2 linked regions of the Nothobranchius furzeri genome follow. The protein of the gene in region 1 interacts with the protein of each later gene in a biochemical or structural test. Links are inferred from orthologs where the notes say so. Each region holds a gene or a part of one and is shown on either strand. Other genes may lie near its edges. The genes, in order: f5 and pros1.

Region 1 (3,818 bases):
TTAGAAGCGCTCGTCCACGGCGCTTCGTGGCACTTTGTCGCGCTTTCCCGGTGTGTTCCAGGCGTAAAATTCTCCACAGGCTGCATATTACTCCCGTCATTTTAAACAAACTCGACCACTCTCTCTCCCCTCTCTGCCTCAAGTGCAAAGGGGAAAGGACACATTATCATTATTTTTGGACGCATTCATTTATTTCCACATTCTGGACACTCATTTCAAAGGTGATCAACAGGATGTTTAAAATAAAAATGACCCTTGGGTTTTCCTACAAGGCCTACCTTCTAAAGATTTGCATCAGAATGTCCTCGACAAACTCCTAATTGTCTAAAAGTGCATTCTGGAGGAAGACCTCACCACCCAGCGTCACCCTTTGGTACAGAGAGGTCTTTAATAGTCTTCCTCCTGAAAGGTTGCATGCAGTAGTAAGGGGCAAGGACAGGCAGGGACTGTCTTTGACTGCATACCCACAGATCTGACTAATCTACTGCTGACGGGCGGACAGTTTTCACAATGGAAGAAGACCTCTTCTTGCAACCATTGAATTAATCAACATCGAGTAGGAAATGATGCTGCTGACTATTTTTCCCCTATTTTCTTTTCTTTTATTTATTTTTGTAACACTGGCTGGACTGAATGATGGACTGGGTAGGGGTGGGGGTGGGTGGGGGGGATAAGGGGTTGTTCTCTGTAGTTGTTTATCTGTAAAAATAAATAATACAATAAGTGACAGAGTTTGTGTAGAAACTGTCTTATGCAGATTTCAGAGCATTTTGTGAGTTAGCAGCCTCATGGATAAACTGAGCTATAAGCAGACTCATGTGCTAGTTGGGGGTGGATGCTGACGGTTCTTGGTGAGTGTGATCCCTGACATTTCAACCAGGTCCCGTAAGTCTCTTCTTAGTTAATTAAATAACCGCTGCTCCTCCACATCAAGAGGAGCCAGTGGAGGTGGCTTGGGCATCTGTTTAGGACACCTCCCTGGTGAGGTTTTCCAGGCACATCCAAAAAGGAGGAGACCCAAGGGGAGACCTGGGACTTGCTAGAGGAACTATATCAGGGAACGCCTCAGGATTCCCCCAGAAGAGCTGGCCCAAGTGGCTGGGTGGAGGGAAGCGTGGGCCTCCCTGCTAAAGCTGCTGCCTTCACAACCCGACTCTGAGTAAACGGATGAAAATGGATCGATGAAACATCGTGCTTACCTGCACATTTCTGACATTGAGGGACTGACTTTTGCAGATGAGAATGGGTCCTATGAGTCCTGAGGCAATGTCTCGTGGTGTGTCCACTGCGCTGTGGTACATTCGGGTCAAACATCTAGAATCTTTATCCAAAGGCTCATTCTCTGTCAGCACATTCCAGACATAGGTGTGTGTTTCGCCTGGCTGGATGGCATGAGATTTGTTTCCTGTCAACCACATCACGAAAAGCTTTGTCACTTCATGAGATGTAATCCAACCACAGAGCAGCTTCACAAAGCAGCAAGAGCCATACCTCCTTCTGGATAGGTGACTCCCTCCTCAGACTTGTCTATGGTCAGCCCATGTGGGTAGATGCTGTAGGGTCTTGAAGCCATGTTTCTAAATACAACCTACAAACACGGGATGGGGAATCAGATTTTTCACAATAAAAGCATCATACATGCCGCTGTTTGTTTTTCCACTGAGCATTCCCGTGCTGTTGGCTGTCAGCGTGTCGCAGCAGCATCTCAATGAGCTGCCAGTGCCTTTTACCATCCAGCACACTGGTGTAAGCTTCCAGCTGGGCTGGTGCAGTTATGGCTGTTCTCAGGTTCCTTGAGTGAGATGTAGGGCTTCCCTCTCCAGACACAAGTTGTGTCTCTTTAGTTACTGAGTATTTGCTCACATCTCAAATCCATGTTGAGCTGGGCTTTATCAGAGGCCTGGGGTCGGGCCTTCCACCATCTGCTGACTCATCTCTGGGCCCATTCAAAGAGGAGACCCTCACACTCCTGTCTGTAAGGACTTTCATAAGCATGTCAACCACACTGACTTCCCTAGAGCCACCAGCAACCAGATATGATGCAGTTTTCAGCCTGGGCCTCATTCCACTTACGGTGCTCATCTAGCAGCTTCTGCACTCCTTCTTGGAGCTCCCAGACCTAATCTCGTGTTTCCAGTCTCATGACAAATGAGTGCTGGCCCTGTATTTGTGTGGCACAGATTCCTGTTGCTGTTTTTACCACATTCACAACAAATGTGAATGACAACTGAGTGACACTGTGATGAAAGACCAGACGCAAGAGTCTTGGGACCTCCCACGGAGAATTTTGATGGAAGTCAGCGGAGATCTTGTGAGACATTTGTGCAGAATTCGTGCAAAATGGGATGTGAGCATAAATTTAGTGAGACTAAAGCAAAAAATGTGCATCTTTTCTTGCAGTGCTCCTACAGTTTCCATCTCGGTGCTGCTAGCGCTGGTTGCTGAGATGCTACATCTACAACAGATTTCAGACACCTTTGGGAAACGGTCTCACCTTGATGACGTCTCTGATTTGGGCTCTAATTACTGGACCAAGAATTCCCAGCTCACTTTTCCTTTGTTTGTTCTCAAGCTTCTCAGTGAACGATGCATTTGTATACAGGGTGTACACCGCCTTCTTGTACTTTGCACCAATATGTGTTGGTGACTTTGTCAGGTACTGTCGTTGGAAGTCCCTACCGACAAAACAAACATTTAGCAGTTAGGTCAGCAGGTAACACTATGGGTACAAGCCTAAGGTAATGCTGCTCACGCATCAACATGGTCCTGAAGATTGGGTGAGAAGTTCCAGATGATTTCCTCTGCAGCAATGTAGTAGGTCCATTCTTTGCTTTGTCGTTGCTGTGCAATTGTCATTCTGCGTGATGGTTCCTCAAAGTTGTCACATTTCTGCACATCCACAAAGCCATGCAAGCCAGCTGCAATAATAAGAGTACGTTGAGCTTCATGAAGTAAACCTGTCCTTTGTTCATCCGGGGGTTCAAAGGAACACCAACCTTCTATGTGCTTCATGGTTTTTGAGGAGAGAAGCCAGCGGCCTGCATATGGAGCCACCAGGCTGGCCGTGGCGCTGGAGCCACTGATCAGCCCAACCGATGACACTTTGTGGCCTCCTTGTGTCATCACCTGACCGTTGATGTGCACAGAGAAGGCCTCCGGTTCTGAGCTCATTCCTGCCATATGGAGGCTCACAGGGGCATGAGCACACATGCTGACACCTTACAGCAAAGGAAGGGTCAAGGTCACAAAAGGAATTCGTGTTTGACTTTTGTTGATTTAATTCTTTCTAATGTGTTTTTGACTACTTATGCACAGACTGTTCAGTCACACGTATGCAGACAGAAGGCTGTGACCCGTAGAGGGATGTCACACAGTTCACAGCAGTGAAAGTGATCTTTGGGGTTGCTGGTGGTTCATTACACCAGCCTGCAATATTACAGCACACCGCTGCTGTTCCTGCACTAGAGGTGTGAATCTTCACTTGTCTCCTGATTAGATTACAATTATTGTGTCAACAATTCAAATCGATTTGATATCCTGATGCATTACGATTATTTTATATGTTTTCATCGATAAATAGAAGATGTGACATAATTGCTATATCTGTCGTGTCTGATGCAACCTGCCATCCCCAAAAGCTCTCCATTCACAACAGTCCTCAGGACAAAACATTTAAACATGTAAAACAGTAAAAAATGTGTTTCCTCATTCAACATCACACCTCAGGCTGAGATAAACATGCTTTACCAATACTCACAAAATCTGGAAATACTAAAACCTACAGGACACGTCCAGTTCTTGCCTTTAGTTTAAGTTAT
Region 2 (4,363 bases), on another chromosome or scaffold:
AGTTTCATTAGGTCTTGAGTACATTGCTCATAATTAATGATTCAGCTTATTTGTGCATATTTAATGACTAAACAATGTTGGTAAAATGCTTTATTAAAAATGCTATTATACATGTACAAGTTCCCCAAGGGAAATGTGATTATATTAAGTTTTTGTGATTTGTCCCACCATACGCTGTTCAAATTGACTTACGGCGCTGTGGGATCTTTGGAACTGAGAGCTCCACGAACCACGTGACCGCGAGTCGGTGAGTTCAAAGAGTGTCGTAACTCTCCCTTTCTACAGCTCTGACGGAACCCTGCCCTCCTCTCCCAATGATTGGACAGGAATTCGAGAAACTTGATTGGTAGCTAAGACTCGTGCTCTCATTGGTTCCACCCAAGTTCCTCCCACTGACGCTAGAATCGAGACAAAAAGATCTGTAACACTGTAGATTTGAGGTATGTGTCATGGGTGATTCTGCAGGTTGAGTGCTTTGCAGTCTTGTTTCTGGTTTTATTGTATTTCTGGTACTTCCTGATTTATTTTGTGCATTCACTTCCTGTCTCATCACAGGCAGCTTCACAACATGAAGCTCCTCACTAATCTGCCTCATGTCTTGCACCTGGGTCCTGGCTTCTCCATTTAAGCATCTTTGCAACAGTTTTCTTTGCCAGTTTGTCTTCTCCTGTTGTGTGATGTGAACCTGCTCTCAGAAACATTTGGTAAAAGTGTATTCAGTTAGTTTTGGACTTTTCAGTTGTGTTGTACTCCAGGAATCCCTTCTGCTTATTAAAACTGTGTGAGCTCTGCATTTGAGTCCTCTTTGTGCTTTGATAGTTTGTACCTGTAAAATGAAATGTGTGTTTTGAGAGTTTTGATTTCAAACTTGTACCTTCATTTTTTCAATTTGGAAGTTTGCTAGTTGCAAAACGAAAGTTTCATGTTTCTGAATGAATGTTTGATGTTACAAAATGAGTAAATGTACAAAATAAAAGTTTGATTTTACAAAATAAAAAATACATGTACAAAATACAATGTTCCTGTTACAAAACAAGAAATACAAGTACGAATTGAGAATTATAAGTTAGAAAACTAAAGTTACAAGTTACGAATCCAAAGTTACAAGTTACGAATCCAAAGTTACATGTGATGAAACATGTTCGAAGTTACAAAACTTGGTACAAGTTACGCTGAATATTGTCCCAATCCTAGCTCCATATACCACCCCAAAAAAAAAATTTGGCGCTGTTTGGCCACCCCTATCAAAATTTTCTGGAGGCGCCCCTGCACTCTGACTGTTTACTGATTCGTGCCTGAACATTTGGATGTAACATTTAAAACTCCAAGATCAACATGTTGAAAAAGCGAATACATGTTTTACTTTTACAATCTGCACCCCATAGCACCTTCTAAAACAGCATGCATGTCACATGAAGGCCTGGTGGTGTGTGTCAGTATTGGTTCTTTGTGTCCTGGGCCCCCTGTTCTGCATTGTAAACCCATTTTCTGCATGAGTTCAGCCTCCTAGAGTAAACAAAAGACAGACAGGGCCAAGTGTGTCAACGTGCTCCCCACCTCCTCCTCTTTCTACAAAAACACTTTCGGGAGGAAAAAAGGTTAGTTTTTTTATTCTTCCAGTAAGCTGTGCTCAGCCGGTCTTTACCCAGAACCAGAGCTTGGCCCAGCAGGAAGAACGGCTCTGAAATGAAGCGGGCCCTAGGGAGACCCTTGGCTTGTCTCATGTTTCTGGTGACGCTGCTCGACGCTGATCGATGTAAGTATGATTTACCTTTACGCACCAGATTCAGGCTCTGAAAGAAGCAACTCTGAAGGACCGTGACTTCTATGCACCGGGAAACAAAAATCTGTTTACAACAACCGGGGCTTGTTTCTGGGAAATGACGGGTTTCGCAATGGTTCTGTTCATAGAAAAGCAATTAGGAGGCAGCAGCTATGGGAACCATGTGTCTGGAGGACAGAAAGGATCTGTCCACTTCTATTATAGTAGTGTGCAAAAGATTTAAACCAACCATAATTTAGCTGCCAAGCAGATAGACTTTTATAGAAGGTTGTTTTGATCAGTTATTTAGTTATTTTATGAGATTTTGGAAGATTTTTTTGCACTTTAAAAACAAGACAAAAAGTGTCAGTCCTGCTAATTATTAACAACCGATAGCCTGTATGTCTGAAGGTCATCTGCAAGAAATAAAAACAAAATATCTAAATTCATCAAAGAGCTGACAGAAAGGACCGGTGCCTCCTTGTTTGTTTAAATTCAATGCAGTCTTGTGTTTTTATTCAAGTAAAAATCTGTAAAGGTTTTAAACTTCCTGAATAACTTGTGGATTTCTAAAAGTCTTACAAAGTCTTTCTTTATATTTAAGCTGCACTTTTCTTTCATTTCCTCTTCAGTTCCTGTTCCTATGCTTAAAAATCAGTCAGGGTGACAAGTGGAAGACAAAAAGCCATTGAAAAGGAAATGTTATGCAAAAACATTAAAAATAAACAGTTGGTCTATGTCAAGTTTTCAGCTAATGACTCATTGTAAATTTCTTTTTGATGCTAAAATGTTGTTCATGCATTAAACAGTTTTTGTATTTGAAGATTTTGAATAATAACATAAAAAATGTGAAGAAATTTCAACTTATAACCTATGTCATATATAAAATATTTCTTTTGCAAATTGTCTGTTTTGTCTGTTCTGATTTTAGATGACTACAGTATAGGTTAGAGTTACGTGAAACTAGCTAACATTGAAAAAAGATGTGAAAAAACAGCCAAAGTTCAAAGAAAATTATTTTAAAGGGTGGAGGGGTACTTTAAGAGATTTTACACAGTAAAGTGTGTGTTTGGTTTTAATGTTTTTACAGCAAATATGGGGTAAAGGAAATAAAATACAGCTTTCTACATCTCGTCTAACTGAGACTTTCTGTCCCAGTCCTTAGCCAGAACACAGCCTCTCAGTTCCTGAGCAGGCACAGGAGAGCAAACACCATGTTTGAGGAGAGCAAGAAGGGGAACCTGGAGAGGGAGTGCATCGAGGAGCTGTGCAACAAGGAGGAGGCCAGGGAGATCTTTGAGAACCAGCCTGAGACGGTGAGAGCTGTTGCTGGATGGTGGGAATCTATGGAAGAAAAACAGTCTCACCAGAAAATGACTTATTTTTTAGTCACAGAATTTATGAAATTGTATTTTATTTTCTGTGAAATTGCGTATATGAACAATTTTGAACTTAAAGTACACCAGCAAAAAATTCCATCTGTAAAATTTCAATTGTATGGCCCAATCCCAATACTCGCACTGCACCCTATGCCCTTCTGTGACGTGCACTTAGAGGGGGTGCACATCAAATCTTAGTCGAAAACATTCAGAGCATGAATACATAAAATTAACTTCTGTCATTTCAAAATACATTTTTTCAGAAAAGGCACTTGAGCTATTGCTCCACCTTCTTCTCAAAATTCCCATGCAGCAATGGATTATGGGTTACACCCTTGCCTGAAGTCTTCATCAAAGCGGACTTGGGTGAAGTGCAAATCAAGGGTGCAAAGGGGGTACGGTCACCTTTTGCACTTGAGAATAGGGACACCCTACATACTGGCACCCCTATTTGGGAACACAATTGAAGGGCGTAAGGGTGGAAATGGGAGAATAGGGATTGAGCCAATTTCAACAGCAAAAATTCAACAGCTGAAGTGACCTCCTGGTGACCAAAGCAAAGTAATCATCATTCAATCGAGTTGATTCCACTTTAATTCAACTCAACTTTATTTATAAAGCCCCTTCCTACCCCAATCAAGGGGACCCAAGGTACTGAACAAAGTGTTAAGAACAACTGAAACACAATAAAACAGCTATATAAAATGCAGAAATACAACATTTAAAAGACAGTAAAAGATTTAAAAAGCCATAAAATAAAAATGATCAGAACATTAAAAAGTACAAAAGCTAAGAACTAGACGAACCTTTAGCCTAGCTTTAAAAATGGGCAGTGATGTGGAATGTTTTATTTCTAGTGGGAGTTGGTTCCGAAGCCCAGGACCCAGAACCGAAAAGGCACGATCACCCCTGGACTTACCTTTGACTGCGGAACCACCAGGAGGTCACTCTGACCCGAACGTAATGATCTTGCAGGGACATAGCAGGTCAGCAGTGAGGCTAAATATGGTGGGGAAAGACTTGAAAACAAAGACCAGGATCTTGAATAGCCAGTCCAAAGCAGTCCCATTGAAATTCTGCTGTTGAATTTTTTAAGATGAAATTTTGCTGGTGTGTTTTAAGTAAAAATAATTCAGTGTCATATATCAATGTATGAAAAAGTAATATTCTGGTGAGACCATATTTCTTAGAAAGCCTGTTAATATCACCGAGTTTATTCAAG

Evidence for each region.
Region 2: the proteins of f5 (region 1) and pros1 form a complex in vitro, tested with the Homo sapiens proteins (2 studies listed by BioGRID). The link is inferred for Nothobranchius furzeri from reciprocal best matches to the Homo sapiens genes F5 and PROS1.

What each region holds. Positions count from the first base shown.
Region 1 is NC_091754.1:39,109,873-39,113,690, forward strand, and holds part of f5 (coagulation factor V), read right to left. Parts: intron 3,219-3,818; coding exon 2,997-3,218; intron 2,919-2,996; coding exon 2,753-2,918; intron 2,676-2,752; coding exon 2,495-2,675; intron 1,589-2,494; coding exon 1,492-1,588; intron 1,406-1,491; coding exon 1,200-1,405; intron 1-1,199. UniProt on the Homo sapiens protein: Central regulator of hemostasis. It serves as a critical cofactor for the prothrombinase activity of factor Xa that results in the activation of prothrombin to thrombin.
Region 2 is NC_091749.1:37,283,559-37,287,921, forward strand, and holds the start of pros1 (vitamin K-dependent protein S), read left to right. Parts: upstream 1-1,436; 5' UTR 1,437-1,686; coding exon 1,687-1,756; intron 1,757-2,920; coding exon 2,921-3,078; intron 3,079-4,363. UniProt on the Homo sapiens protein: Anticoagulant plasma protein; it is a cofactor to activated protein C in the degradation of coagulation factors Va and VIIIa. It helps to prevent coagulation and stimulating fibrinolysis.